Linked DNA regions of Tamandua tetradactyla. The protein of the gene in region 1 purifies or fractionates together with the protein of each later gene. This does not show direct contact. Links are inferred from orthologs where the notes say so. Each region holds a gene or a part of one and is shown in the gene's direction. Other genes may lie near its edges. The genes, in order: FUS, RALY, ILF2 and HNRNPC.

Region 1 (7,402 bases):
GGTAGAGTTTAATAGTTCTGTATTTTTAATTCCATCCCTCAAGGGATTCTGCCAATACTTTTTGATTATCTGCTTAATATATTCTAGGATGTACCCACGCATTACATTAAACTACACAGGATTAAAGACCCTCATTCTTCTTCTGGGCTGCCTGTGTTTTGATTGTTGAAATGAGCTATCCTGACAGGTTGAGTTAGATTATGTGCTACAGAAAATTTAGGTTCTGGACAAAACAAACCTTTCTTCCGTTGGTCTCAAAGAGCAGGTACTGTTCTAAAATACAGACAAAGTCTTCCTTCCAATGTTCTGAATTACCTTAATCCTGACCTGATCGGCTTCATTAACATCAGATTATACATATATAAAACCACCTCTCAAAATCCAGAAATACCACCCCCATCTTTTTTTAGCTCATGGTATAGCTGTATCACATTGCTCCTCAACCTTTGTCCCTACCCTCCTCCTCCAGGGAACATCTGGCAAATACTTGGAGACAATTTCGGTTGTCAAACTGGGGGTTTGGGGGTTGTTACCGGCATCTAGTGAGTAGAGGTCAGGAGTGCTACTAAATATTCTATGATACACAGGTTAGCTTCCCACAGCAGAGTTATCTGACACGAAATCCCAATAGTGCTGAGACTGAGACATCTTTCTGTTTAATAATTAAGTCAACCAGATCCCCTATTGATGGGCATTTAGGTTGTTCCTAATCTTTTGATATATAAATGCTGTTGCAATGACAGTGGTTTAAACTGAAGTTCTTAGCAGCGGGAGACATAATCTACTTTATGTAGTTTAAGCAAAAAGAGATTATGATAGGTGGAGAGATTATTACAGATGGTTGCCAAATTTCTGGGAGGGTCAAGGAGTCAAGCTTGGACATTTCCCAACCAGTATTACAAACCAGGTTAAGAGTCCAGCAACAGCATAGGACTTTTCTAGTGGAAATTCCAGGGCTGTTGCTTCATGCATTTGGCTTCTGTGATACTAAGGATGTTATAACTTCCACCAGAGCTATCCCTGAAGAATCAAAGGTCTCAGCCACTCTACTGGTCAGAATCTGAACTTCCCATTTGCGGCTGCTGCCTCAAATCTTGTGAGGTGCATTTGCTTGACAAAACTGGGTTGGAGATGACCCAAAGTATGGGCCTGGAACTCAGGAAAGTCAGGATTGGACATACACATTTGGGGGATGAACGCATGACATGAATGAAATCACATTCCAGATCACATTTTAGTCTACAGCCAGAGTTTTTAACCTCTAGAGTTAACTCCAGAAAGCTTCTGAAGATAGCATTCAGCAGTTCCAAACTTGAATGAGAAAATATTGTCCTTATTTTCACTTACCTTTAACTGCCATTTAACATTTTTTTTTCCCAATCTGATGACTAGGGGAACAAATCACAGCAGGATTAGCAGTACTAGGGTGTTCACCACGTACAGAAATCTCATAAATTTTCAGATCACATCACAGACGTTACAGATAATATTAAAATATTTTTTACATTCCAATGTACTTCAAAATTACAATTATTAGACTTGCCAGTAGATTGTTACATTTAATGCATTAGTATATTACAAAGATATTTTAAAACAATATTTTGACTACTACTTCCATTTAATGTTTTCTTTGCATTCTTACGTAGGGAGTCTCCTTGATATTACAAGTGGTGAATTACAAGCGCGTGCCCCAGCTAAAGGTGGTGGCTTCTTCTTCAACTTGACCCTTGTCCTATGAGAATGTGGGACCAGGACGGTCAGAACCTCCAATTTTCAAGAAAAAGCCAGAAGTTTGGATTTTGATGTAACATTTTTCTATTTCAGTGTTGGCAACTACTTAAAAAAATTAAAATACAAGAGGATAAAAAGAAAAGAAAAAATATACATAACAGGATATCCTAAAGTAGGCTAAATTAGATGTCAGGCTGCAGTTTGGGCCTTGCATTTTGAGGGAGAAGTTAAGAAGGCTGAAGACAGAGCCTCTGGTGAGCAGAGAAAGAGAATGCAGGAGGACAAGACAGAGAATCAACAGTGGGAGAGGTGGGAGGGCTGGGAGCAGGGGTGTCCATTAAGTAGAGGTCCCCATGTTACATGCTCAGGTGAAACTCACTGAAAGAGTTAAGTCTGGTGACATGGACCCTGTACGGAGACTTTCAGGGGCCCCAATTTGATCCTGCCACCCCCCATTATTCTGCCCATGAATACCCTTCCCCATCCATACCTTTGTCTCTGACACTCCTGCCAGATGCACCCTTTCTTCTCTTCATGGTTGGTGAATTACTTATCCTGCAAGGCCTAGCTTCAATGTTACCAAATTATCTCTACCTTTCTGTCTACCTGGTACATGACTTGCTCTCTCAGCAGAGTTTCTGGAGTCCCTCATTCCATGTTAGAGTACTTACCACATTTCTTTTAGGTTCACTTTGCGGTCTGTGTCTCATTTCACCCCTGGTCATAAAAGTCCTACGGTTTAGGGACTGGATCTTCTTTTATCCTCTCTTTGGGTCTGACCCCTGGCTTGCACATGCTATGCAGTGTTCAAGCAATGTTTGCCCAAGCAGGAACTCTGAGTCAGACTGACCCATTTGGGCTACTTTCTGAGTAGCCCTGGCAGGGCGTTCAACATTTTGTGCCTAGCTCCTCATCTGTAAAATGCAATTCTCACACCGACCTCCACCTCGTAGGTTTATTGTGAAGAATAAGATTAAACAAATTATACTCAAAGCACTCAGAACAGTGCCTAATACTTAGAAAGCCTTTTGAAGTGTTAGCTGTTATAAAAATATATATACAAATATGCAGAATACATGAATATTATCATTGTTAAATGTTAGCTTCATTATTAAATGTTAGATTCAGGGTGGGCCACGGAGGTTCAGCAGGTAAGAGTGCTTGTCTGCCATACCTGAGGACCCGGGTTTGATTCCCAGCGCCTGTCCATGAAAAAAAAAAAAAGTTAGATTCATCTGTTTTGTACACTAATATATCCCTAGAGCTTGTTATAAATACTGAATAAATGAATGAAACGAATGAGTGACACACTTCCCTTTGCCTTCACTCCGGAGCCACATTCCCTTCCTATGGGGTGGGGTGTTCAAGGGCTAACAGATCACTAATCAGGCCTGGGGCACAGCCCTCACTGTTTCTCTTGGAAAACGCCTACTTTCTACCCAGAAATTTCTAGAACCCAGGCCAAAGGTAAGTTGCGAAGGAAACTGCCTGGCACGCATACCCAGGAGTAACGTCTTCTATTTTATTCAATAGTTTCAAATTGCCTTTTCCAGGCAAGGCTGATTAAAGTACAAGTTTCAAGTTAATTTTTTTGCCCTTGCTTTCATGGTGAGTGAACAGGCTTCCCAACCCTCCAGAGCGTTCTTGTAACCATCTAAAGGAGTGTTTTGCAGTTACACAGACTTGGGTTCGAATCACGACTTGTTGATCCTTAGGTGTACTTTCATCATTGATTGTATCTGGCAGGAGTCACACTTTTCTTATCTATCAGAAAATGGAGATACCTTCCCTTTCTTCCCAACACTGTGATGGGAAAACAACTTTTTGCGCATTTTGAAGCCACTTAAGCGTTATACAAAATGGCTGTTATTACTGGGATCTCCAAATTGATTCTGTGGTGGGCCTTCAAGAAAATAAAAAGTAGCTCCGTATCAGTCAAGGGCAGAGGCCGGGAACTCCTGATGTAGAATCTGCGAGTGCAATGTCACCGGAAGGGCTGGGGGCAACAGGATGAGAACTCAACGCCGGACTAGATTATGACCAAAGGGTCTGGCAAACATCATCTATGCTTTGTTTCAGGTCAAACGTCACAATTCACAAGCCCTCACAGGGGTGACCAAAAGGTATCCCTGAAAGAGGATGAAGTGAAAACCGAGAGGCCGGGAGGGAAAGGGTCCGTGGGTGTTACTGGGGGAGGATCGTTAGAATCAGTGAGAGTGCGAGAGCGCAGGGGAGGCGGGTGGCCGGAGGGACGGTGCGTCGGGAGAAGCGAAAATGCAGCTGCAAGAAGGAGCTCGCTATCCTAAGTGAAAGTGCGGCCCAGTGAAATGGGCAAGGCAGAATTTCGGTTCCTGCCGGGCCACTCCCGACTGTACTTCCGCTCTCAGACGCCTCGGGCTCCTCGCCCCGCCCCCAGCGGGGGGCCTCAGGCTGTACCATTTTGGCCTTTTAGGGGTGAAACTGAATAATCGGCTAGGCCTCCCGAGGGAATCTGTGGTAGCCACCAGAAAAATAAGATTGTGTATTATGAGTTGCACATTTATGACCAATCTTCTCCCTCTTCGTCTGCTCGGATCCCATATATTTCCTGGAGCTTGGTAGGCGCCCCATCGTGCTTCCCCCTTTCTTTTTCCACATTTGGTACATTCCCCTGCGGTACGTAGGCGGGGAGGCGTACATAAACCTCGACGAAGAAGGCGGGGCCGCTCAGTTCTCGAGGCGTCGGTGCTCTGTAGTGTTGGAATTGTGTTGCTTGTCGGGCCGTTTGCGCGTGCGCGGACATGGCCTCAAACGGTAGGTAAGGGCGCGTGGCGGGGGTGGCATGCTAGCCTGGGAGTTCGTTCCTTTCTTGCTGGGCCTTAGTTTTTTTCTGGGACCGGGATGGCGATCGCGTGTGGTGGGGTCGTCTCTACGGACCATTCCGGCGGGAAGCAGCTGAAAGGGTGGAAGGTGAGGGCTGATGTCGCCATTTTGTTTCTCTTCCCTGGCGCTTCTCGCGCAGGGCAGGAGATATTTCCTAACATTTCTTTACTTGAGGTGGGGAATGGAAGGGGACGTTTCTCTGCGTTTTGGAGCGTGAGCCAAGGTGGAAGTGCTTAGTCTCCATAGCCTTCCTTCCTTTCCCTCGCTCCCAGCCTCGCATTTGGGCCCGCTTTGTCGCAGTACTGCATCCGGGTACTCCGCGCGCGCACGCGCTCTTCTGGCCCCTCCCCTTCCTCGCGGCGCGTACTCCTGCCCGCCTCGTGCTGGCCCCGTTTTTTGTCGCGAGACCCTCCGCGGGAGACCCCGCAGTGCGCGTCCGGTGTGGGCTTTGCCCTCCCAGGCCCCTGGGGAGGGGGTGGAACCGCCCAGTTCCCGCCTGGGTTGCCACGCGGCCGGGGGCGGAGGCTCGGCGCTTAGGCCGCGCGCCCGCTTAACGGTCTGTGGGAGGGGGCAGCATGGGGGCTTGACCAACGGACTACGGAATCTGGCCCGACATTTTTCCCGCCTAAATTCCTTTTCTCTGAGATGGGGATGGAAAGGAACATCCGCCCCTAGCCACACCTCTTTCTTCCTTTCTCAGCGAGGGAAGCACCTCATTTCCTGTCCTAAGCAGTTGAGTCGATTTGGATACTGTACCTTTACTGTGGCGTTTTAAAAGCGCTCTCACTAGCTTGGGTTCGCCGAATTTTTTCTGCAGCTCCCTGGAAAGCAGAGTAGATGAGAAAACGGACGCCATTGGGCGCCTCAGGCCTGAGTCTTGCCTTTTGAGCAAGCTTCTCGAAGGCCGATCTCTCTCTCATTTGGTATCAAAGGGGATCGCTTTTGTTTTCTTGACTGCGCTAAAACCCCAATTTTGCCATTCTCAATGATTGGCCAGAGGGCGAAAATGGTCTCTATTGAACACGTTCTTGTTCTTTGGATCTCAGTTGAGAGAATGGAGGTTGCTTCCTCGGGCTTGAATTCAAACCTGCCCCAGGTAGCTCTGTGACCCTTGGCAGGTTATCATATCTTGAGTTGTGGGTAGTTGTGAAAATGAATTTTGTATGTAAAATGTTTTAGTGCAGTTTCTGAACTGAATTAAGTTTGCAGAAAATTGTAACTTGATCCTGGAATTTTTTCTTGCGTAGTGGATTAAGACTCCTTGGTCTTCGCATAAACACACTTTTTTGGCATGACCATCTTTCTTTGATGATCATCTACCAGCTTACCTTTCCTTCCTTCCAACTAATGTCTTATAGGGGAAAATTTATGGCCTTTTTTGCACCATAGTTTTTGCTCATTTTCTTGATTTGGAGGCCCCAAGTGCTGGAGTTAAGGGAATTTAGGGCTCTGTCACACTCTCAGGGAAGACTGGCTGAAGGTAATGTGAATCTTTTTTTTTTTTTTTGCAGACTATACTCAACAAGCAACGCAAAGGTGAGTGTCAATTCTGGACAGTTCGTTGAGGGCAGGGTGGCAGAGGTGTATTTTTCTCATTGTATTTGTTTTTGCTTTGTTTTGCACCCAGCTACGGGGCCTACCCCACCCAGCCTGGGCAGGGCTACTCCCAGCAGAGCAGTCAACCCTATGGACAGCAGAGTTATGGTGGTTATGGCCAGTCGGCAGACACTTCAGGATATGGCCAAAGCAGCTATGGTGGTTCTTATGGGCAGACCCAGAACAGTGAGTCTTTTAGTGGGTCACCTCACCTGTCCCTGCTCTTTCTGAATGTTGCCTTTCTTTTAAATCGCAGTAGTGCTAAAATGTTAGTGCCATTTGTTCCATGTTTCTTTTCTCTTATCCGGTCTATAACTTATAACTTCTTAGAAACTTTTGAAAGTAAAAACTTTTGTTTTAAACAAAAATGCTTAATGTTGCTTTGTAATTCTATGCATTCCTTTTTCTTCGACTGTTTTTTCTATTTATGTTGTACTTTTTCCCATTTTCAGCATGAAAGTAAAATAAGAGGGGAGTGTGTCACCTAAAGAAAAACAATTTTAGGTTTGGTACTTAATAGGGAGGAAATGGCTTGCTTGAAGGTGTTTTAAGTTAGGCTCTCAAACTTCATGTGATACGGTAGGAGTTGAAATTTGCCCTGGGGCCTTTAAGCATATAACTTTCGTTGCTCATACATTAAAATGCTGTTACTAAGTAGGATTCGTGTGGGCTTAAATTAGATCATGATCCTGAAGACTGGGTTTTGGGAGGCTGAGATATACTGTCCTAAGGAGTTGGTACCTTAGCCTTAGAGTAGAAGAGAAGGGTAACTTGTATTAGGAAGAACGAAGTGGCTTTTTTCCAACCTCTTCTTTGCCCATTCCTCTCATAGCATTTGTGGCTCCCTTTTTCTTTGCCTTGTAGCAGGTTATGGCACCCAGTCAACTCCCCAGGGATATGGCTCAACTGGTGGCTATGGCAGTGGACAGAGTTCCCAATCGTCTTATGGGCAGCAGTCCTCCTACCCCGGCTATGGGCAGCAGCCAGCTCCCAGCAGCACTTCTGGAAGGTAAGGAGGGGTTGGGGGAAGACCTGGAAGATTGGGGCTGAATTGGTAAGGAGTGATAATGAAACAATTAAAAGAAATGGGAAGTGCTAAAAGTGAAGGAAAGTTTTGGGTATTATGACATTTTCGTTTTGGTTTTTTCCTTTCCTTTAGCTATGGCGGCAGTTCTCAGAGCAGCAGTTATGGACAGCCCCCGAGTGGGGGCTA
Region 2 (7,789 bases), on another chromosome or scaffold:
TTTACTTGCTCATGAGCCCTCCATCTGGGCTGGACTCAGGTGGGCAGTTTTTCTCCTCATTTGGCTGGTGGTCACTCTTGTGCCTGCATTAAGGTACCAGACTGGCTGAGAGCTGGGTTTAGCAGGGAAACTGCTGGGATGGCTGGACTTCTGATTCTCTCCATGTAGTTTTAGAGAATCCTTCCTATTGGTCTCTCCAGCATGGTAGCCAAACTTCTTATCTGAAAGCTCAGGGGTCCAAAGAGTAAGCATTACAAGAGGACTAGCCCCGGGGTACAAGCATTTATCAAGCCTCTGCTTGTATCCTGACTGCTAATGTCCCACTGGCCAAAGTAGTTGCATGGCCAAACCCAGAGTCAATGTGGAAGGGGGCTACATGAAATCACAAAATCTGGGAAGCATGGTTCCTTGGGGGTCACCCAAATTAACAGTCTACTACAATTATTTTCATGGTATCTGACCAATGGCTAGGGTAGGGAGAGTGGGCCTTCACAGCAGGGTGAAATTTGATAGTTCCTTAGTCTCCCTACTTAGATTTGTCTCTCCTAATGAACTGGCCCAAAATTGGAAGTTTTCCCTTACTTTACAGCATTGGTCTGGTAAGACCAGGCTTTCAGAGAACAAATTAAGTTTCAACCCATGGTGTCAATCCAAATGATTGGTATGGCTTTCTACGTGTGGGAAGGGTTCTACCGCGGGTAGAGGGTTGGAATGCCCTGATTGGCCAGCCTGCATCAGGTCCCATCACCAGGGCCTAGGGGAAAGTGGCCATTTCCTTCTGCAGTAATAATAAAATAATAAATACATTAAATGAGTGTTTACTATGTGATAGGCACTCTTCTAAACATCTTATGTGTATCAACTCATATTATCCATCCAACAGCTCTGTTAGGTAGATATTATTTTCCACATTTCTTAAATGAGAGGTAGAGAGGTTAAGGAATTTTCCCAGATTCACAAAAGTAGTAAATGGCAGAACCAGGATTCAAACCCAGGATGTCCAAATTTAGTATCTTCACTCTTTATAAAGTTTGGACCAAGAATGGGAACTGGGGGTTCATTGGAAATCCAGGCCCTAATTCCAAGAAAGGGAAATTATACAGTGCAGGGAAAAACAGTATCTAGAACTTACAATCTACTTCAGGTGGGATTCTCTTCATCTCAGTGTCTCCTGTTTGGATCAAAAGCTGAGAACTTCTAGGACCACCTGGTTAAGAAATCCTGAGGTACAGCAAATAAGAACATCTGAGAACTCAAAGGTACTAACATGTGGCTGAGAATTTTTAAAAGGATATGGAGGTGTCATACAGATGACACATATGACTAAGAGTTGGAGTTGTGCAGCTCTGAAAGTCAGTATTCTTACATAAAGCAACTGTAAAGAAGCCAAAAAAGAGATCAGACTTCAATTAGAGATAAAACAAAGCTGATCTGGCTGGGACTAAGATAAATCAGACACAGGGTAAAGGATGATGGTGTTTGTGTTTTACAATTTCATCTACTGCATGAGACTAAAGGATGAGAGGTTTATTTTGTCCAAAACTTAAATTTTCCATAGCACACAATCTAACTTAACCTATCTGGCCAGTTCAGTTAAGCAGCCTAAACACATGGAGTCTAGCATTGGGAATGAGGTCTTGCAATTCTGTATAGCTTAATATAATACCCAGATACATTCCAGAATACGTTGGGCAGATAATTAAAAAGTAATGGCAAAATCCCTCGAGGGACTGAAGAAAAATTACGGAACTATTAAACTTTCCCACTTGGGAAATCTGATACTGTCTCAAACATTAGGAACTCCCAAGTTAATAAGCCAGGCCCTTGATCTTGAGGCTTGCTCTTATGAAACTTATTTCTGTAATGGAGAAGCTAAGCCTACCTATAATTATGCCTAAGGGTTACTTCCAGAGAAACTCTTTAGTTGCTCAGATGTGGCCTCCTCTCTCTCTTAAGTCCAATTCTGCAAGGAAAATCTTTACCTTCCCCCCTACGTGGGACATGATGTCCAGGAGTGTACGTCTCCTTGACAATGTGGGACATGACTCTCAGGGATGAGCCTGGCCCTGGTACCACGGCACTGATAATGGCCCCTGACCAAAAGGGGGAAAATGTAACAAAATAAGGTATCAGTGGCTCAGACAGTTCAAATAGAGTCAAGAGCCTTTTCTGAAGGTTACTCTTATGCAAGCTTCAGCTAGATATTGCTAATTCCCATGGTATGCCAAGCCCCAACCAACAGTATTCCTATAACTCCTAAAATATACCCAGGGCTCTATCTGAGATTTATAAAAAGTTTCCCTCACTAAGTTTATTTTTCAGAAACCTACAACCTCCTGATGGGTCCCTAGGCCAGATAATCCCCCAAACTCAGAGTTACCAGTATCTTCACGAGCATCAACCAGTTGCATCCCCATACACCATAATGTTGAAACCCTTCTTCAACATGAAGTTAGATGGTTCTTGCCCAAATATCCCTACAGATTGGGAGAAGGATAAAAGGAGGAGGAGTTTTAACGGAGAAAATAGGATTTAACAAATGAAAATGACTACCGAATCATTATATTGATATTTCTTCTTAGTCTCCAGTGTCTTAGAGCAGCTAGAAGGAAATACCTGAAGCTGTGGGACTGTAACCCATACCATACTTTGAAATTCATACTGTAACTACTTGTTAAAATGTACTTTGAAATCTATTTTTTTGTGTGTGTTATATTTCACAATAAAAAAGTTTTAAAAAAAGAATATGGAGGAGTGGATTTGGATAAAGAAATGGAGAACACGAAGGGGAAATGTGATGGATGACATCTGCAGAAATGCATCTCGGAGACTAAAGCCTTTCTGAATATTGGGAGGCATGGGTGGGGTGGGAGGCCTCATAATCATTTCCTGGGTACATAATCCTTTTTGAGTAAGATGCTCTAGAGATGCTTTTTCTCATTAGAACAAATGCCACATACACAAAGCCTTATTCATTTTATAATTTCTTTGAATGTGCTTGAGCATGTGAGCCCTTAATGTCAATTTCAATTAATGCAATGCATATGATCTTGGTGGTGCAGCTAATGGATTGCAAAGAGGGGCAGAGGGAAGGTCACTTGGACTGGTACTCTCTCTGTTAGGAGGTTTGAAGGCTGAGGTGAGAGAGGCATTGGGAGGGAAGGTCTGAATTTGCTCTCCCTACTTAATGAAGCCCATACTTTGAAGATGCCACCCTGTCTTTTGTTTGATAAGAAAAAACGGATTTGGAGACCCCTGGCAAGACAGACAGGAGAGACAAGGGCCCAGGGCTGAGCTGGTGAGGACCAAGAGAGACATAATATATTCTTTCATTGACTTAGGAGAACCGTCCTCATAACCTTGAACCTCTCCCCCACCCCCCTCTCAGCCACCAATTGTGGGTTATAGTTTCACAATTTCATGGAGCAGATTCTTTCAACCTTGACACTTGATCATTCCAAAGCACCCTCTGCTCAAAACCGTTCAATGATTCCCACTGTCTGTCAAGCTTAGCAAAGAAATCAGTTCTTTCCAGAATCTAGTTCCAGCCTATACAGAAGTGTAGATCTAACTGCTGATCGGGCAGAGCTACAGCTCTTGATTCAAGTTCTGCTCAGAGTAGAGAATCTCGTTTTTCAGGTAGATTCTGGGGGAAACGATATGATAAATACAATCATGAAATCGCAGGCCAGATTGGATGAGACATGGAGAATTTTTCTAGTCAGTTCCCAGTTTTCAAGGAGGTCCATAACTGAAGACTGAAAGGCACCAGTCCTTTTGTGCTCTCAGAAAACTCCTCTGGCTGTTCTGTGGAGGCTGGGGCTTGGGGATCAGAGACTCTGGCGAATGGACTAGTGATCCAAGTGAAAAATTCAACAGCGGAGATGTTTAGGAGGGAGAACCACCACTCAGATCAAGTTAGAAAACATTCCCTGCAGCCAGAAGTATAAAGAGACTTACTTGAATTTTACCTTTATATATTTTTTAAGTCCTCCCCCAGAGTTCCACCGTCACCGCAGCCTCTTCCCCTAGTTCCAGCTTAGACATGAAGCCCTAGTGCCTGGTTCCTTGAAAATTAAAAGACCTTGTGCTTCTTCTCTACTTCCTCTTTTCCGGATCCCTAGAGCATTGCCTCCAGGCGACGAGTTTGAGCCCCATCCCCACGCCCGGCTAACGCCAAGCACCACCCACTCAAACCTTCTTTAGGTCACGCCTCCTTCCGGCTCCTCCCGAGAGTCTCCACCTTTCGGGCTCCTCCTCCTGGCTCTGCTTCCGGGCCCGCCTCCTCCGGTCCCGCTTCAATCGTTCCTTCTTTCGTGGCTTCTCCTCAGCCCCTCCTTCTTCCAGCTTCTCTTGGTCTTCCTCCACCGTGACTCCTCCTCTGGGTATGGCCGCCCTCTAGGCCCGAGCACAGCCTCTCCTTTCCAGCTCTGAGGGAGCTCCAGGCTCTCCGAGGCCTCCACTACTTTCTTTACCTCTCTTGCGCTCCTCTTGTTAGGGATTCACAACCCTGCTAGCCTTGCCCCACGTTCGGCTCCCTACTAGTACAAGCGAATCCCTCTTCCCGCCCTTACGCGGGTCCCCAGGCTCCCACCTCAGTCCCGCCTCCCTATCAGGCCCCGCCCCTGCCCCGCCCTTTGCCTCTCCCCGCGGAAGCTCTGGACCTTTCCAAAGCCGAGCCGAGGGGTGAAGAGAGCCCAGGCGTTGGGGGCGGGGCCGGTTGTGCCTGGGCGAGGTTCCAATCTCGTTGCACTACTGTCGTAGCATCTACCCGGGAGACAGGAGTGGAGGGGAGGGAAGCCCAGGTTAGGACTAGGGCGGAGGGCGGGGCCAAGCTGAGGGGCCCTACCCCTGCGCGCCTCAGTGGTGTAGGCCGAGGGAAGGACTCGCGGCTGCGGAGCTCGCGCCGCTGTCAGTATAGCTGGACGCGCGAACGGCGCGGGCTCTGGGCAGATCAAGCCGCGAGAAGCTGTGGGGGCGGTAGCGGCGGCGACGACGACGACGCCGCAGACGAGGGCTCCCGCGCTTGTGTTCAGGCTCCTCACGCCGCGGTCGGGGCCGCCTCCCTCTCTCCCTCCCTTCATTCCGCCCCCAAGTGCGGCGGCACCGCCTCCTTCCTTGCCGAGCTTCTCTCTCCAGATCTCTTGGCGCGGGTGAGTGGGAGCCGCGGGCGTCTCCTCAAGAGAGTGTGTGAGTGTGTGAGTGTGTGAGTGTGTGTTCCTGTGCTTCTTTTCGGTCGCTCACCTCTTCAAGCGGGCCGTTACCTATTTTTAGAAACTCTTTTTCTGGTCATTCCGGAGCCCGGAGAGCCGGAGTAACTCCAGATCCCCTCCTTCCGCACATTCCCTGTACCCGAGCCCGCCGCCCCGTGTCGCCCGCCCCGGCAGTTCCGCGGCCCGGGCCTGGGCCAGGAGTTGGCCGGGTGGGCCCGCGCCGGCTCGGAAGTTGGAGTCTTTTGTGTTTGCGCCCCGCCCCGCTCGGCGAGGGGAGGAGGGAGTGGAGCGGAGGCCGCGCCGAGGAGGCCTCGGCGGGCAGGGCCAGGACTCTGGCCCCGGGCTTTTTTCCGCCTCCACACTGCCCTGCTGTCCTCCTAGGCTGGGTCTGTGGATCCCTGAGACGGGTACAACTGGCCCTGACTCGACCCTCGGGGGCCTGAGCGCCCCCGATCCTACTTCTCCCGGTCCTGAGCTCATTGGTACACCTGGGGCTTGGAGGGGAACAACCACAGGCCTTCGAGCTGGGGCGTTATTTCGCACTTCACGCAGTGCTCTTCGCGGCCCAGCCTGAGTTCGCGCCTCGGTGAAATGGGGGAAAAATGAAATTCGTTTCACAGGGTGTTTGCGTGCTCGATGAGGGAACTAATAAATGAGAACTGTTTAATACCAACAGGTAAATTTAATGAGACTTGATCATGTGCTAGGCCCCTTGCCAGGTATTTCATAAGGCGTTTTTTCATTTAGTGCTCACAACGGCCTTCTGGAGTTATTCCCATTGCACAGAAGCAGAAATAAAGGCACGGAGAGACTAGTTTGCTCCAAAACACCCTGTAGCCACAGAAGTGTAAGGCAGTGATGCTAATACCTGTTATTTATTTCCTAATGTGAGCATGTATAATCCCTAGTGCAAAAGGAGTTATTCCTGGATCAACCATGAGTTAGGGGCATTACTAGGTCCTTCCTGACTTTTGGGCCATTTTCCACATGAAATACCATTCTAGGCTACCAAAACTCCGAGGGAAAGGAGGATAGAATGACTTTCTGCTTACCTTTCCTCTAGAAGTTGGTGGATGCAGGGAACTCCAGGTCTCAAGCGTAACTGAAATTCCCTGGGACTTTGGCTCAAGGAAGGTGTAAATCCAAGTGAAGTCTGTCCATAATTTTGTTCATATTATGTTCCTCCTCCATTATCTCCCCTCTTCATTCCAAACCTTGCATTTCTCTGGTGTTTAGATTTACAGATTTCTGTGGGTTAGGGGTGACAAATCATTTACTCAGGTCTGCTTTCAAGTAGGGTTTTATTTCCCTTATTTTCAGATAAGGCCCAGAGAGCTTAAAGTGAACTAAAATTAGCTTTGGGAAGTGTTTCAGTTTTCCAATATGTTTGATTTCCAGTATGTATGAGGAGTCTGAAAATCAGGCAGGGGAGTTCCTGAGCTGAATATTGAGGGGTCTCTTAGGAAGGGAGGTCTTACCCTGATATTTGATGTCTGTCTTAATCCCTTGGAATCTGGTAGGTGTACTGTGCTTCCCCCTCTGCATCCCAAGAATCATGGTAGGGAGGAATTGTTCCCCTTTCTGTATTAATAGTAAGTTCTAAATTAAAACTGCCTTAGTGATAGAACAAGAACTAGAATCTCCAGTCTTCTGCCTCTCAGTTCAGTAATTTTTATTTCTGCCTCATGAAAGGGCATTTAACCATTTATTCAGCCCTGGAAAGACCAAGAATCTTGAGTGAATGGAAATTCCAACGAAGTTGTGTAGTCCCAGCCACTCTCTATGCCTCAGGTTTAGCAGTAAAAGGCCAGATTTTGTGCACAGGTATACCATTTTTTATAAGTTGCCACTTTTGTTTTACAGTACTTTATAGTTTACAGCACTCTTTTGTAACCATCATCTGATTTCATTTCTAATTCATTTCTGTGAGGGAGTTTACTGAGCTAGGTTTGTATTGCCATTTTATTACGTGGAAATTGAAATACAGCAAGGTTAGGGCACTTGCCTTAGGTCATGCAGTTAAACAAGAGATGGGGCAGGACATCTCTCAGGCTGAGGATTTGATTTGGCCTCATCAAATGAGCCACTCATTGTGACTCTAAGCTTCGATTTCCTTATCTGTAAACTCTCACAGGATTGTTGAGGGTTTATGAGAAAATGGCTGTGAAAGTAGTTTGTAGTGTTAGTAATAATAACTAACACTTATTCAGCATTTGTCATATAGCAGGTACTGTATGTCTGTGTCTCTTTTAATCCTCAGAGCAAACCTCTGCATTAGATACTGTTATTATCCCTGTTTTACAGAAGAAAGAACAGGCTTCTGGATGTTACAGGACTTGCTCAGGGTCATATAATTTAGTAAGTGACAGAGCCAGGATTCAATTTGCAGACAATATAACTTGTGCTCTTAGTGTCTTCCTTAACCTACTGCATCTGCAGCAGGGCATGGCTTACAGTCTTAGAGCAAGAACCCATGCCTTGTGGTACCTTTGGTTAAGTTCTCCCCTCTGGATTGAAGCTCATCACTGAAGCCTTTTTTCTTTTTTCAAAGATGACTGCTGACCCCTTCTCTATTT
Region 3 (7,322 bases), on another chromosome or scaffold:
AAAGAAAAAAAAAGATTATACCTACCATACCCCTTACCCCTCGCTTTCATTGATCACTAGCATTTCAAACTAAATTTATTTTAGCATTTGTTCCCCCTATCATTTATTTTTATTCCATATGTTCTACTCCTTTGTTGACAAGGTAGATAAAAGGAGCATCAGACACAAGGTTTTCACAATCACACAGTCACACTGTGAAAGCTACATCATTATACAATCATCTTCAAGAAACAAATGGCTACTGGAACACAGCTCTACATTTTCAGGCAGTTCCCTCCAGCCTCTCCATTACATCTTGAATAACAAGATGATATCTCCTTGATGCATAAGAGTAACCTCCAGGATAACCTCTCGACTCTGTTTGGAATCTCTCAGCCATTGACACTTTGTCTCATTTCCCTCTTCCCCCTTTTGGTCGAGAAGGTTTTCTCAATCCCTTGATGCTAAGTCTCAGCTCATTCTAGGGTTTTTCTCAATCCCTTGATGCTGAGTCTCCGTTCATTCCAAGATCTCTGTCCCACGTTGCCAGGAAGGTCCATACCCTTGGGAGTTATGACCCATGTAGAGAGGGGTAGGGTGGTGAGACTGCTCGTTGTGTTGGCTGGAGAGAGAGGCCACATCTGAACAACAAAACAGGCTCTCTTGGTGAGCTGAGATTTAGCATCAAGGGATTGAGAAAACCTTCTCGACCAAAAGGGGGAAGAGGGAAATGAGACAAAGTGTCAATGGCTGAGAGATTCCAGAGTCCAGAGGTTATCCTGGAGGTTACTCTTATGCATCAAGGAGATATCATCTTGTTATTCAAGATGTAATGGAGAGGCTGGAGGGAACTGCCTGAAAATGTAGAGCTGTGTTCCAGTAGCCATTTGTTTCTTGAAGATGATTGTATAATGATGTAGCTTTCACAGTGTGACTGTGTGATTGTGAAAACCTTGTGTCTGATGCTCTTAGGCCTAAATTTTAAGTAGACTTGACCTATCCTTTGTGGGGTTAAGTTTCATATGAACAAACCCCAAGACTGGGGGCTCAGCCTATAGCTTTGGTTGTCCACACTGCTTGTGAGAATATCAAGAATTCAACTTGGGGAAGCTGAATTTCTCCCCGTTCTCACCACTCCCCGCAGGGGGCTTTGCAGATACTTTTCCACTCACTGATCGAATCACTCTGGGATTCATCGGGGCATCACTCTGGACAAACCAGCAAAATCTCATGTCCTATCTGAGATTCCAAGTACTTATGGCGTTCAATCAAACTATTTACATAAGTTATATTAGGAAATGCACTAGTCAAAATATAAATTTTGTAACAAGTAAACATTTTTTGCTTTAGTCTCAGACAGAAGGTGACATTTAAAAATATTAATTACCATCTATTTTCAGTACCCTACAATAATGACATTCCTTTGTTCTTCCTCATGCAAAAACATTTTTAAAATTGTACATTGTACATTTCACACTCTAGGCATTCCTAGATTATACCATCTCAATCTTTAACATCTATCTTTCTTTCTGATTTCATTTATGTTCCCAGCCCTCCTCCCTCTATCATTCTCACATGCAGCTTCATTCAGTGTTTTAATATAATTATATTACAGTTAGGTAGTATTGTGCTGTCCATTTCTGAGTTTTTGTATCCAGTCCTGTTGCACAGTCTGTGTCACAAGTGGGAAATTCTTGATATTCTCACAAGCAGCGGGGACAACCAAAGCAATAGGCTGAGCCCCCAATCTTGGGATTTGTTTATATGAAAGTTTATTTACTTAACCCTGTAAAGGATAAGCTAAGCCACTTAAAATTGAGCCTAAGAATCACCCCCAAGAGAACCTCTTTTGTTGCTCAGATGTGGCCTCTCTCTCTCAGCCAACACAACAAGCAAACTCACCGCCCTCCCCCTCTCTACGTGGGACATGACTCCCAGGGGTGTGGACCTTCCTGGCAACGTGGCACAGAAATCCTAGAATGAGCTGGGACTCGGCACCAAGGGATTGAGAAAACCTACTCGACCGAAAGGGGGAGAAGAGAAATGAGACAAAATAAAGTGTCAATGGCTGAGAGATACCAGAGTCGAGAGGTTATCCTGGAGGTTATTCTTATGCATTAAGTAGATATCACCTTTTTAATTAAGGTGTAACAGAGAGGCTGGAGGGAACTGCCTGAAAATGTAAATGTAGAGCTGTGTTCCAGTAACCATGTTTCTTAAAGATGGTTGTATAATGATATAGCTTTCACAATGTGACTGTGTGATTGTGAAAACCTTGTGTCTGATACTTCTTTTATCTACCTTATGGACAGATGAGTAAAATGTATGGATTAAGAATAAATAAATAATAGGGGGAACAAATGTTAAAATAAATTTAGTAGATTGAAATGCTAGTGATCAGTGAAAGGGAGGGGTAAGGGGTATGGTATGTATGAATTTCTTTTCTGTTTTCTTTTTATTTCTTTTTCTGAATTGATGCAAATGTTCTAAGAAATGATCATGATGATGAATATACAACTATGTGATGAGGAAAAAAGAATGTTCATATTGTATGTTGATTGGTTTTATTAATAAAACTTTTAAAAAAAGGAATAACCTCCAGGATAACCTCTCAACTCTGTCTGAAATATCTCAGCCACTGACACTTTTTCTCGTTTCTCTCTTCCCCCTTTTGGTCAAAAAGGTTTTCTGAATACCTTGATGCCAGGTCCCGGCTTATCCTGGGATTTCTGTCCCACATTGCCAGGAAGATTCACACCCCTGGGAGTCATGACCCACGTAGAAGAGGAGGGCAGTGGGGTCCCTTGCCATGTCGCTTAGAGAGAGGCATATCTGATCAACAAAGAGGTTCTCTTAGGCCTAATTTTAAGTAGGCTGGCCTATCCTTTACAGGAATAAGTTTCACAGGGGTGAACCCCAAGATTGGGGCTTGGCCTATTGATTTAGTTGTCCCCACTGCTTGTGAGAATATCAGAAATTCTCCAAATTGGAAAGTTGAATCTTTTCCCCTTCTTTCCCACTCCCTAAGGGGACTTCACAAATACTTCTTTATTCACTGTCCAAATCACTCTGGGATTTATCGGGACATCACACTAACCTGGACTACCCAACAAGATCTCATGCCCTATTCAAGATTCTCTTATGGGATCTTATGGTACTTATGGTATCAACTAAACTGACCATAAAAGGTAAATCAGGAAATGCACTACCCAAAATGTAAATTTTATACCAAATAAACTCTCCCTTTAGCCGGAGGACCTCTTTTGTTGCTCAGATGTGGTCTCTCTCTTTCTAAGCCCAGGAACAGACAAACCTAATATATGAAAACAGAAATAGGAATAGTGATTCCCTCTAAGGACAGGGCAAAGGGGTATGAGGTAACTTTCTAGGGTGATGAAAATGTTCTTTATCTTAATCTGGGTAGTGGTTACATAGATTTAAAACATTACTCAACATTAACTAGCTATACTGCTAAGATCTGTGCATTTTAATGTAGGTAAATTATACATCAATAAAGTATGTAAAACATTACACAACACAGTACTTAATTCTGAGGGGAATGAAGGTGGTAAATGGAATTAAGTTATTCTTGTATTTTTTCAGGAGGACTTTCTGAAGTCAGAGATGCGTGTTGTAATTTTTAGGGTAGACACTAAAAGGGTAGAAAAAAGAAAAGAGTGCATAACTTCCCATTAACAGAGGGGGGAAAATAATAAACATTATATCTCCCATGACAAAGAAGGCAAGAAGGGGGAAAATTAACAGGAGGGATAACAGCCAGCACATAGTAAAATGATTGATTTAAATGCAAATCAATACAATGTCTCCCTTTCTGCCTCAAGTTGCTGAACTACACAGAAGTGTGATGTATTAATCGCTTCCTAAGGACCCTTCCTCAGTACACTTCATTCGCCAGTGCCAGAAAAATCTTTGAAAGGCTGCATTTATAAGGGAAGAAAAAACTGAAAAGATGGCGTTCACATCTATTAAAAAAATTGAAATCATACGTATCACCTTTCTCTATAAGGAGGGAAATAAAAGAACCAGATAGCAGAGGATGGTTTCGATCCATCGACCTCTGGGTTATGGGCCCAGCACGCTTCCGCTGCGCCACTCTGCTACCTGGTGTTCAGGGCTTGTAAAGGTCATATAGAAAGTATTTACAATTGGTGGCGTTCGAGGTGTTCAGTTCCTCCAAAGAGCGCTACCTAGTTCTTGAAGAAGGAACTGCCGCCATTGCTGTCGAGCCTGTTCTTACTGGCTGGTTCCCGACACAGCAGGCGTCTTTTATTGGTTCTTTGCTTATGTCTATTGGTTTATAGAACCAATAGACAAAAGCGGCGGGATAAGGCGGGAGCCAATAGCGCCGGGTTTTGTTGGGAGACACCGGCAAGCTGCTTCTCCAGTTGTCCGCTCCTCAGAGGAGAGGGGCGGTTGGCGCGGCCTCCATTGTTCGGGATTTAGGGCGCCATGAGGTAAGGGGACCGGGGCGCTGTATGAGGATTTTGGATATTCGACTGAAAATGTTGGGAAGGTGGGCCGAAAGGAGTCGGAGGAGGATTGGGGATTGGCCTAAAACCTGAGAACTCCCGGCCTGGTAGCGGAGGAGGGGTCGGAGGCCGGCTGGGGCGGGGGAACGCGGGCCTGGGACGGGGGTGGGGCCCGGGCGCGGGAGGCGGGTTCGAGGCCGCTGTCTCTGGATAGGGGGTGTCCGCGGATCCCTGCCGGACCCTCCCCGCTTCTGGGCTGAGACGGCTGGATCGTGCCCCATTCATCCTCACTGCCAGTTGCTTCACGTGTAGGCTATGATCACTACATTTTTAAATGCCTTAGTAGATAAATGAGCACTCACTTTAATCTCGGAAATGTTAGGATTGGCACATCTCCCAGGTATTACGGTAGGGGCTCTAGGTGTTAAGTATCTGGGTCCCGTTATTAATTGAGGTTATGATTAAATTATCCATAATGAGGAGAAGTGTGATCGAAATACTGTCACTAGGCTCCCGAAGGTTCAGAGCGATGAAGGGAGGCTAATTCGAAATGATGTGGTGGGTATAGTGGAGTTGCTACAGTGAGGTAAAAAGAAAAAAACCTCCCAACTTTCTATATCAAGAAATTGATTTAAATGATACTACATTAATTTAATGGACTACTACACGACTATCAAAAAGAATGAGATCACTCTGGAATGAGATCACTCTGTACACAGAAAGGAGTACATGCTGTATTAACTGAAAAAAAGCAATTCAGATAAGTACATAGTATGACTTGCTCTGAATCTTGAAAAGGAATATATATGTTTGCATATTTTGTGTGTTTGTATGTGAAAACACCATGAAAAACACCAGAAAGAATACAGCCCACACGTTTATGGGGAACGAAACATTTATGGGGAATAAAAGGGGAAATTTTACTTAGTTTTACATTTATTTAATATAAATAAATGGTGATGTCTGGCTATTTTCAAATGACTTTGTAATCTCTTTTTAAAAAAACTTTTAAGAGTTTTAAAAAAACCTTTCATACATTTCTAGGGGTGACAGAGGCCGTGGTCGTGGTGGGCGTTTTGGTTCCAGAGGAGGCCCAGGAGGAGGGTGAGTGCCAGTTTTTAGCACCTCTGCACTGGTTGGTTTCTCTTAATCATTTAAGTAGGAATTTGGAGTGGACTAATGTTATGTTAGGTGTAGCTGTGATTTAACATCTCTTCTGGTGCTGTCCTGCTAAATGTTGATTTTGCTAAGAAGGATCATCCCCCAGGGGACTGACCCTGATTCTCAAGACACAAATGTTTTCAAAACTCCAATTTGTAGAGTATATGGAACCTGTTAATTAGGTGTCATTGGTTGGGTGAAAGGTTCGATGCAGTATTAGCAATTGTAAGGTAGAACTTTCAACTTTGAGCAGTCGTTTTATTTCTCAGTTAAAAGTTTTATCTGTTCAGGAACCTGAATATCTGAATGCTAAAAAGATTTCTCTCTCTTGATGTTAGTCTCCAAGAGATGCTAGAAAACCAAAGTTTTGGAAGAGAGAACATAAAAACATTGTTTAATTCTGTTTCTAGGTTAAGGCTGTTTGTGCCAAACATCTCATTTGATTTCTATGTGGTGCATAATTTGGACTGTTTTCCTTGTTTTAGGTTTAGGCCCTTTGTGCCACATATTCCATTTGATTTCTATTTGGTGAGTATCTGGGGTTAGTATGACTTTCCTGGCCACTGTTTACCTTAACATAGAAATGGAGTTTAGCATTTCCCAGTTATTGAAGTTAAGTGGTAGTTGGAATAGGAACAAGGACTTGTTAATAAAGTTGGGGCTTTGAGTTAGCTGTGTTGCGTTGCATACAAAGACAGTGTAAGCAGGGTGAAGAGATAATTTCTTGGCTACTGTTGACAGTAATATGATTGAACTTTTTATTTCAAATAAGAATATCTGATTCATCTGTTAATGTGAAAGTCGTGACCTTAAATTATGGCTGTTCTATTGTATATATTATTGTAGCAACAGTACAAAGTACTTATTCCTGTATATTATTTTGAGTAAATATTATGTTTGTAGTATTAAATAGTTTAATTCTTGTTCAGTGTGAAATGGCCTTCCCCCGGGTCAAGCCAGCACCTGATGAAACCTCTTTCAGTGAGGCCTTGCTGAAGAGGAATCAAGACCTTGCTCCCAATTCTGCTGAACAGGTATGCTATTTTGGTTTCCTTCCTGAGATTTCTGTAGTGGTCAGAAAAGTGAATAATCTCAGATGAGGTTAAGAGTAAATAGTGTTTTCAGAGACTAAGCTCAGAAAGCTTATTCTTATTCTTATTTCTTATTATTCTTACTTCTTCTTGTGGGTAGAGACCGAGAGCCAGCTGAGTATATTAACAGATTATTAGGCATTCAGGTTTTTATTGGAGGATCTCATCTATGTGATAAAAAATGTTCTTTTCTGGCATATTCAAGGCCAGAAGGGTCAAAATGTTTTTAAAGCCTGTGTTGGTATTAAGCTTGTATGGAAAGGATTATGAGAAAATATTCAAATTCTGAGAAATTGCTTGTAATTTTTCACCTTAGGGAGTTTTGTCTCATGCTGTTTTTCAGGCGTCTATCCTTTCTCTGGTGACAAAAATAAACAATGTGATTGACAATTTGATTGTGGCTCCAGGGACATTTGAAGTGGTAAGTTTTTGTTGATTTAGTTCTACAAAGGGGCAGTCTCATTTGTGGAAATTTCCTTGGCTTCCTCTTAATTGTTCAATTCCCTGTTATCCAGATCCAAGCCTAAAATGGGAACATGGAATTCCTTTGTAGTACCAGTCTTGTGAATGGTACTGTTCACAAGTACTGAACAGTGCCTGT
Region 4 (7,313 bases), on another chromosome or scaffold:
AGGGCCCAGTGAGGGAAAAGCAGTGAATGAAGCAATGAAAGCTTAGGACTGGAATAGAGCGCTATTACAGGATTTTAGTGTGGGTGTCACAAAAAAAAATGATGCTTTCCGATGATTAACATGACAACAATTTGCAGGTCAGAGTGGGGGACAGATGAGTGTGAGTGAAGCAGGGTGCAGTAAAAGAGTAAGGGCCTTGAAAGTGATGTTTAATAACTCCATCATATAATTTTTCAAGTAGAACATGGTTGCCTGTGGGAGATAGCTTGCAAACAGTCAGAAAGGTGTCCAAATTAGTGTGAAGAAGTATAAAGAAGTGATGGGTAAAATTAGCACCATGAAAGTTTTTTTTAATTAGTATTGACAAATCTTCACACTCATACAGTCCATACAATCAATGGCTCACAATATTATCACATAGTTGTGTATTCATCATGATGATCATTTTTAGAACATTTGCATCACTCCAGAAAAAGAAATAAAAAGAAAAAACTCATACATCTCACACACTTTACCCCTTCATTGACCACTAGTATTTCAATCTACTCAATTAATTTTACCCTTTCCCCCCCTATTATTTATTTATTTTTATCCATATTTTTTAACTTATCTGTCTATATGCTGGATAAAAGGAGCATCGGACACAAGGTTTTCACAACCACCCTGTCACACTGTAAAATCTATATCGTTATACAATCGTCCTCAAGAATCAAGGCCACTGGAACACAGCTCAACATATGAGGTATTTCCCTCCAGCCACTCCAACACACCATAAACTAAGAAGGGATATCTATATAATACATAAGAATAACCTTCAGGATAACCTCTTAACTCTTTTTGAAATCTCTCAGCCACTGAAACTTTTTATTGCCTCCTTTCTCTCTTCCCCTTTGGACAAGAAGGCTTTTTCAATCCCATGATGCTGGGTCCTGGCTCATCCTGGCAGTTCTGTCCCACATTGCCAGGTAGATTTACACCCCTGGGAGTCATGTCCCATGTAGTGGGGAGTGCAGTGAGTTCACCTGCTGAGTTGGCTTAGAGAGAGAGGCCACATCTGAGAAACAAAAGAGGTTCAGTGAGGGTGACTCTTAGGCATAATTATAAGTAGGCTTAGCTTACGCTTTGCAGGAATAAGTTTCATAGGGGTGAATCCCAAGATTGAGGGCTCAGCCTATTGATTTCGTTGTTCTCACTGTTTGGAAGAATATTAGGAATTCTCCAAATGGGGAAGTTGAATATTTCCTCTTTTCTCCGCAGTCCCCCAAAGGGTTTTTAACAAATACTTTTTTATTCATTGCCCAAATTACTCTGGGCTATATTGAGACATCACACTTACCTAGATAAACTAACAAGCTCTCATGCTCTATTCAAGATTCCATGTACTTAATGATGTTCAACTAAACTGACCATACAAGTTAAATTAGGTAATGCGCTACCCAAAATATGAATTTTGTGCAAAATAAACATCTCTCCCTTTGGTCTCACACAGAAGTTGAAGTTTTATAATATGGACAAATATCATCCTTTACCCTGTGTTCTAATTTGCCTTAGTCGTATCCAGATCAGCTTCATTCATATCTCTTAGCGAAGTCTGATCCCTTTTTCAAGTTTTTAAACAGTTACTGTATGGGGTAGTGCTGATTTTCATACCTTCAGAGCTCTAACTCTGAGTCTCAGAGCACCATGAAATTTTACTTAAGTGTTTTGACTGGATTCATCAGAAACCATTTCCTCACTCTCTAGGGGAAAATTGTTATGACACTCTTGGACAATGGAGGTGCAGAGGATGAGAGGCAATAACGATTGTACTAGAAGAGCCCTATTTGGCTTGTTGTATGGGATGGGACTAGGGAGGCTGAGGGATGGAGGATGATACATATTGAGGACAGTATTTGGTCAATGACTCCAGTAAAAAGTTAAGTTATTTCATAGCAGTTACTGCTTCTCCTTTCATCTTCTTTTTGACAGAATTGAGGCGGGGGCAGGCTGGGGTAGTGAGAGTAGAGGGGATATTTCAAGCCACATGAAATCTCTGAACAGAATTATTTTTTGAAGTAAAACAAATGTTCAGTTTTGTTTTATTTTCTCCTTAGGCCAAGTTTTCTCTGTTTCCTTACCTCTTTTTCCACTACTAGAGGCTGGCTCATGCTTTCTTTCTACTATATATAGCCTTTCAATAGATGCATTCTACTGTAAACTGTAAGGGTCTTTAGAATAGGCACAAGAGAACTTAAGGGAACTTTCTACACTCTACCTTACCCACCTAAGTTTACAGAGCATCAGAATCCAAAGTCATGAATGTTTGCCATCAACATGGTGCTCAACATTCTGCACCATGTTGCATTTGTATGAATGCTATTTTTGCACTTGTTTTCTTCTCTAGAAAATTGTAAGTTATTTGGTAGAAGTACTAGCAGTTAATTCTTTTTGTATACTTCACTTTCACACCACCTAGCAAACAGGTGAAATGTTTGAAAGCATGATGTTGTCTTTTAAGTACTATTTTTGCTTCTATGAACACAGTGCTGGTTAATAAGTAGGTCATGACAAAGAATATGAAGTAAAACTGATTTCTGGTAAAAAATGAAATAGGCAGTTTTCATTAATGTTTTAGAGACTTTTATTCTATGAAAACAGTGAGCAATAAAAAAGCTATGTTAATGTTTATTTTTGTTTACTTAAGTCAATAATTTCACTTTAACCAGACCTCTGAGCCTCTGGACCCCTCTGAGAAATTGTCATATAAGTTATTTAATAAAAAAGAAATGTAGAATCTACCTGCTTGTCTTGGCAAAATAGTATTTTCCCCCGATAAATAAAAATGATTAATCGGTGTAATACATATTTCAAACACTTTCTGCATAAAGCCCTGTAATAGGTGGTAAGCAAGCGGAATACAAATAGGAGTAAGTGAACTCTGCCATCAAAAAAGCTTCCAGTCCAAGACGAGAGAACAGACGAGTGCAAAATTAATCACAATGCTATGAGGTAGTTTTAAATTAACTGCAATGTTGCAGCTGAGTTGAGGCTTTAAGCACGTAGTATTTCCCCCAATTACTTGTTTAAAGTAGACAATATGTAAGATATAGAAAAGCACAAGGCAGTAAAAATCTACCTCATCAGTAGAAACCACCATTAACATTTTAGTATTTTTTTCTTTTACCTTTGTTTTTGCTTTTTCCAACTGGCTTAAAGTAATAATATTGCAAAAAATAATAATACTGTAAAACATTCAAACAGTATAGAAAGGATACCAATGAAAAAAGTAAAAATTCCTCTCTCCAAAGGTAACAGCTACTTTTTTGTGTGAATCTCTGTAATTCAGAAGTAATTAAAACTAATGCATAAAGCATTTACATATTCATATGTCCCTTAAAAACTTACAGAAATGGAATCACAATATGTAAGAGTTCTGCACCTTACATTTTCCAGTTAATGGGAATAAGCCCTCTCCTTAACATATCCACATATAGCTCTCCCTCATTCTTAGTAAGGCTAGCTAGTTCTATTCCATCTGTATAGTATTCCGGGCTAGCATTTTATACTTCCTTGTTTGATATATTGGAGAGGAATAGGAAGCCAGCTGAATTGGGTGGGATATGTGCTGTCTGAACAAGAGCTTGATGGCAGAGGAATGGGGAGGTGAAATTCGAGTCTGGAACTGAGGAAGGGATCTGGGGTTGGGGAAAAACTGCGGGTATGGTTAGTTTTCTATGTAGCTTAACATGGCCTAGTTATCACCGCTTTCTCCTCACTTTAATAAAAAAAATCTTTCTTTATCCATATAGCACAAAGGAAACGTCGCTTCGTGGTATACCTTCTCCCCCTGCCCAAGGCTAAGAAGACCGCTGCGAAAGGCGGAAGAGGGCCTAAGACTCGACCTTCGCGCCGGCAACTTAACAACGCCTCTTATCCCTCCTCACCCCCACGTCGCGGGAATTCCGAGATTTGGGCGGGCCTTCTCCAAGGGCTAGAAGGAGTAGAGATAGGGCACTACGGACGCCAATCAAATATGCCGGATACCCGGATGTGAAGCGGTGCGCGCGATACAAAGGCGAATTTTCACCCAGCGCTACGTCCGGTACATTGGCCAATAAGAATTCCTCAAGCAATAAGTGATAGGAGCAATAACCAGTTATAAGCTAGTTTCTTTCACGCATGTGGAAATTCTCTTACTTGGTCTAACCCATTGCTGATTTTAATTGGGCGAGATTGTGAAGAACAGTAGAGCTGACCTACAAGGAACGGGAGCGAGAAAGGGCGCAGCCAATAGAGAGGTTCCAAGAATGGGGCGGGGACTAGGCCTTCGCCTCGGCGGCGGAGGAGACTCAGGAGCCATTTTGTGGACGGACGGAGACTGTGCGGTTGCTACCGCGTTGCCGACCTCGAGCAGCAGTCGGCTTCTTCGCGTGGAATCTGGGAGTGGGAGATTCAGATTTGAATCCCTTCTCCCTCCCCCCTCCTGGTAAGTGGAGGGGGAGACAAGGAGAGGCACTGGGTTCTTCGGGGAGCGCGAGAGGGTGTGGGGAAAAAAGGCGAGGGAACCCTCTCGGCAGAGTAACCAGGCCCCCTTTTCTTTTATTTGCCTTGGGGAATTAGGTTTTGTGTGGGAGGGAGTGTTAGCGTTTTCAATCTCCGCGTGGATTTAATCTGGCGTTCTCTAGGCCTTGATCGTCGGAGAAAATACCTTTTTTCGTCTTGCTTACCTATGTTAACGGTTGGTTTCCTTTCATTTTTCTACGACCGTGAGGACTCCCAAGAGAATTGAAAGTGAAGCTCGAGATGTTCGTTAATATAGTTGAAGTTTATGTGGAGCTAATGTTTTCTGTTACCTCATTCTTTCACATTTAAAAATTGAGCAGTCGGGGAGTGGGTGCTTACCAAAGTGTTGTACCGCGAGCCTGTAAATTCTGAAACGTGCTGCAGGGCATGGAAATAATGAATACAGCAATAGACTTAGTATTCTGAATATTTATTATTTTACTTCTTTTTAGGCAAATGTGGACTTCGAAGTAGTAATTTTTTTATTTTAAAAAGAAAAATGTAACCTCACGTATTAACAATTAAAATTGCAGCTGACTTACTACTTTTTATCTGCAGGTTTCAAATCACTTGAAATATATAAGTTAGTGGAACTTTGCTTGAGGTAGGTATTAATATCTTTCTCAGACAAAAATCTGAGGCGTAAGAGTGTTGGATGCCAGAGTATGTTAAATCAGGACTGTTGAGGTATTTGACCACTAGGTCAGTCGAGTGGATTTACCTAGTTGTTTGAAAATAGTTGGTACCAGGCACTACGTTTGAATTTTTACAAGAACCTAGTTACAGAAACCACTGGCAGTTAACTGGAAAATTACCAAACTGCACTTGGAAAAGATAATTAGTTATGAGAGTTGCATTTTTTTATTAAGATTAACTGTCGACGACGACATACTTAAATTCGGTTTTTAAGATGTTTTGGTATTTATAAATTTTTGCTGTCCACCCAAACTTTTGTGACAAAAAAATGCCCAACTACACTTTATTATAGTGCCTACTATTTGCTAGATACTGAAACTTAAAAATTTTCTGAGTTAGTAAAACTTGAAATGGCTAATTTATCCTTGTGTAAGATTGAGCTAATTATATTTTTTACAGTGTGTAAATCTCAAATACGAATGCTGTGTTAAGCAAAGTTTAAACCAGTAATGAAGAGTAAGAAGTTCATCCTCCAAGAAACCTAATTTTTAGACGGTAAAAGTAGGCATATTCTAGATGGCTATGTATTTGCTCGTTCTTCACTATGTAGATACTGTAAATCCTGTAATGGGCTCTGCAGTATCAAAAGTATTTCCTGTTTTTTTTTTTTTTTTTTTTTTTAACGTAGGCAGGCAGTGGGAATCGAACCTGGGTCTCTTGCATGGCAGGTGAGAACTTTGCCACTGAGCCACCATTGCCTGCCCTCTTTTTTTTTTGAAGGCCTAAAATGTATATTGTGTATGGGCTTTTTAAAAGTAAAGCTCATCACGCAGCTGAACTGTCAGAAATAAGATAAAAGCAAGTGATAATTAATTTAGGCAATCATCTAGTTGGTAAAAGTATTGTTGGCAATTGACTGTGAGGCATTACTTTTATTTATTTATTTTTTGTATGGGAGGCACCGTGAATCGAACCCGGGTCTCTGGCATGGCTTGCCGAGAACTCTGCCTGCTGAGCCACCATGGCCCGCCCCTGAGGCATTAATTTTTAATACTTAAGAAGGGTTATTATTGAGAACCGAAATTCTTGTGTAGTTGTCGAAATTTCGAGGTGTTAGAGATATGGCCTCATTAACATCAGCATGTCACAAATTTCCTGAGTTAACATCCGTCAGAAACTCTGTCCACAAAATTAATACCTGAAACAATTCTAGCTGTGTTTTCAAGAGGTAGGCTTTAGTAACATTTTCATGTTGGGCTAGAGAGGAAGGGTTTAAGAGGAAAGACAAACTTTTTTGTGTTTGCCATGCTGTGTCATTCTCAGGAATACTTTGGTGGTGGTTGCTATTCTTTGTGTAGAGAATTCAAATATAGCTTATAGTGTAATTACATTTCTAGGTTTAACATAGCGTGTGATCTTGTTTTGGATGGAATTGCTGTTAGAAACAAACCAAGAATAAATTCCAGTGAAGCTGTTTCTAATCCTAAAGACACATTAACTGTTGAATGTGAGAAGGATTGATTACCTGGGGAGTATAACAGTTGCAAAATCTTGGCCTAAGAGTTAGAACCAAATCCCATCCCATCCCATCCCCCCCTCCCCCGCTTGTTACCTGTGTTATTTTGGGTAAATCACTTTTCATTTTCTGCATTTTAGTTTTGTATCTGTAAAATCAGGGGTCTTGGACTTGTTTTAATTTCTAGTTTGTCATTTGCCAAAGGTTAAAAGGTGTACGGGAATAGTTTTATTGTTGATAGCTGTTTTGGAAATTAGCAGTTGTTTAGATAGAACTGCCTTAATAACTGCAGTTACTATGCTAAGTGATTTCTTGGATTTATTATAGTGTATGGAAATATACTCAAACCTACTTCTGACACAGTCCACTGGAAGGATTAGGCACTTTGTTTAAAGAATTGGTTCCTAGATGTCTCTAGTTAAACCCTACAGTGGTTCTCAAAGTTGAGCAGATATCAAAATGGGCAGGGAAGTTGGCTAAAACAAAATGCTGCCCCCCCCAGCCTTCCCCCCCCCAGGAGAATTTCAGATTAAGTCTGGATGGGGGTGGGGTCTGAATTTGCATTTCTAACAGTTGGTAGTTTATGACAATGGTCATGCTGTTGCGATCTCACTTGGAG

The links.
Region 2: the proteins of FUS (region 1) and RALY purify together in Homo sapiens (affinity purification with mass spectrometry; 3 studies listed by BioGRID and IntAct, with this or other methods). This does not show direct contact. The link is inferred for Tamandua tetradactyla from reciprocal best matches to the Homo sapiens genes FUS and RALY.
Region 3: the proteins of FUS (region 1) and ILF2 purify together in Homo sapiens (affinity purification with mass spectrometry; 3 studies listed by BioGRID and IntAct, with this or other methods). This does not show direct contact. The link is inferred for Tamandua tetradactyla from reciprocal best matches to the Homo sapiens genes FUS and ILF2.
Region 4: the proteins of FUS (region 1) and HNRNPC purify together in Homo sapiens (affinity purification with mass spectrometry; 3 studies listed by BioGRID and IntAct, with this or other methods). This does not show direct contact. The link is inferred for Tamandua tetradactyla from reciprocal best matches to the Homo sapiens genes FUS and HNRNPC.

The regions. Positions count from the first base shown.
Region 1 is NC_135349.1:23,364,115-23,371,516, reverse strand, and holds the start of FUS (RNA-binding protein FUS), read left to right. Parts: upstream 1-4,399; 5' UTR 4,400-4,511; coding exon 4,512-4,524; intron 4,525-6,104; coding exon 6,105-6,129; intron 6,130-6,220; coding exon 6,221-6,375; intron 6,376-7,053; coding exon 7,054-7,198; intron 7,199-7,348; coding exon 7,349-7,402. UniProt on the Homo sapiens protein: DNA/RNA-binding protein that plays a role in various cellular processes such as transcription regulation, RNA splicing, RNA transport, DNA repair and damage response. Binds to ssRNA containing the consensus sequence 5'-AGGUAA-3'.
Region 2 is NC_135327.1:18,996,630-19,004,418, reverse strand, and holds the start of RALY (RNA-binding protein Raly), read left to right. Parts: upstream 1-4,788; 5' UTR 4,789-5,153; intron 5,154-5,491; exon of another isoform or gene 5,492-5,889; intron 5,890-6,265; exon of another isoform or gene 6,266-6,461; intron 6,462-7,789. UniProt on the Homo sapiens protein: RNA-binding protein that acts as a transcriptional cofactor for cholesterol biosynthetic genes in the liver. Binds the lipid-responsive non-coding RNA LeXis and is required for LeXis-mediated effect on cholesterogenesis.
Region 3 is NC_135330.1:6,483,772-6,491,093, reverse strand, and holds the start of ILF2 (interleukin enhancer-binding factor 2), read left to right. Parts: upstream 1-4,302; 5' UTR 4,303-4,449; coding exon 4,450-4,454; intron 4,455-5,513; coding exon 5,514-5,573; intron 5,574-6,115; coding exon 6,116-6,158; intron 6,159-6,559; coding exon 6,560-6,664; intron 6,665-7,064; coding exon 7,065-7,142; intron 7,143-7,322. UniProt on the Homo sapiens protein: Chromatin-interacting protein that forms a stable heterodimer with interleukin enhancer-binding factor 3/ILF3 and plays a role in several biological processes including transcription, innate immunity or cell growth.
Region 4 is NC_135340.1:35,250,193-35,257,505, forward strand, and holds the start of HNRNPC (heterogeneous nuclear ribonucleoproteins C1/C2), read left to right. Parts: upstream 1-4,304; 5' UTR 4,305-4,465; intron 4,466-5,100; 5' UTR 5,101-5,146; intron 5,147-7,313. UniProt on the Homo sapiens protein: Binds pre-mRNA and nucleates the assembly of 40S hnRNP particles. Interacts with poly-U tracts in the 3'-UTR or 5'-UTR of mRNA and modulates the stability and the level of translation of bound mRNA molecules. Single HNRNPC tetramers bind 230-240 nucleotides.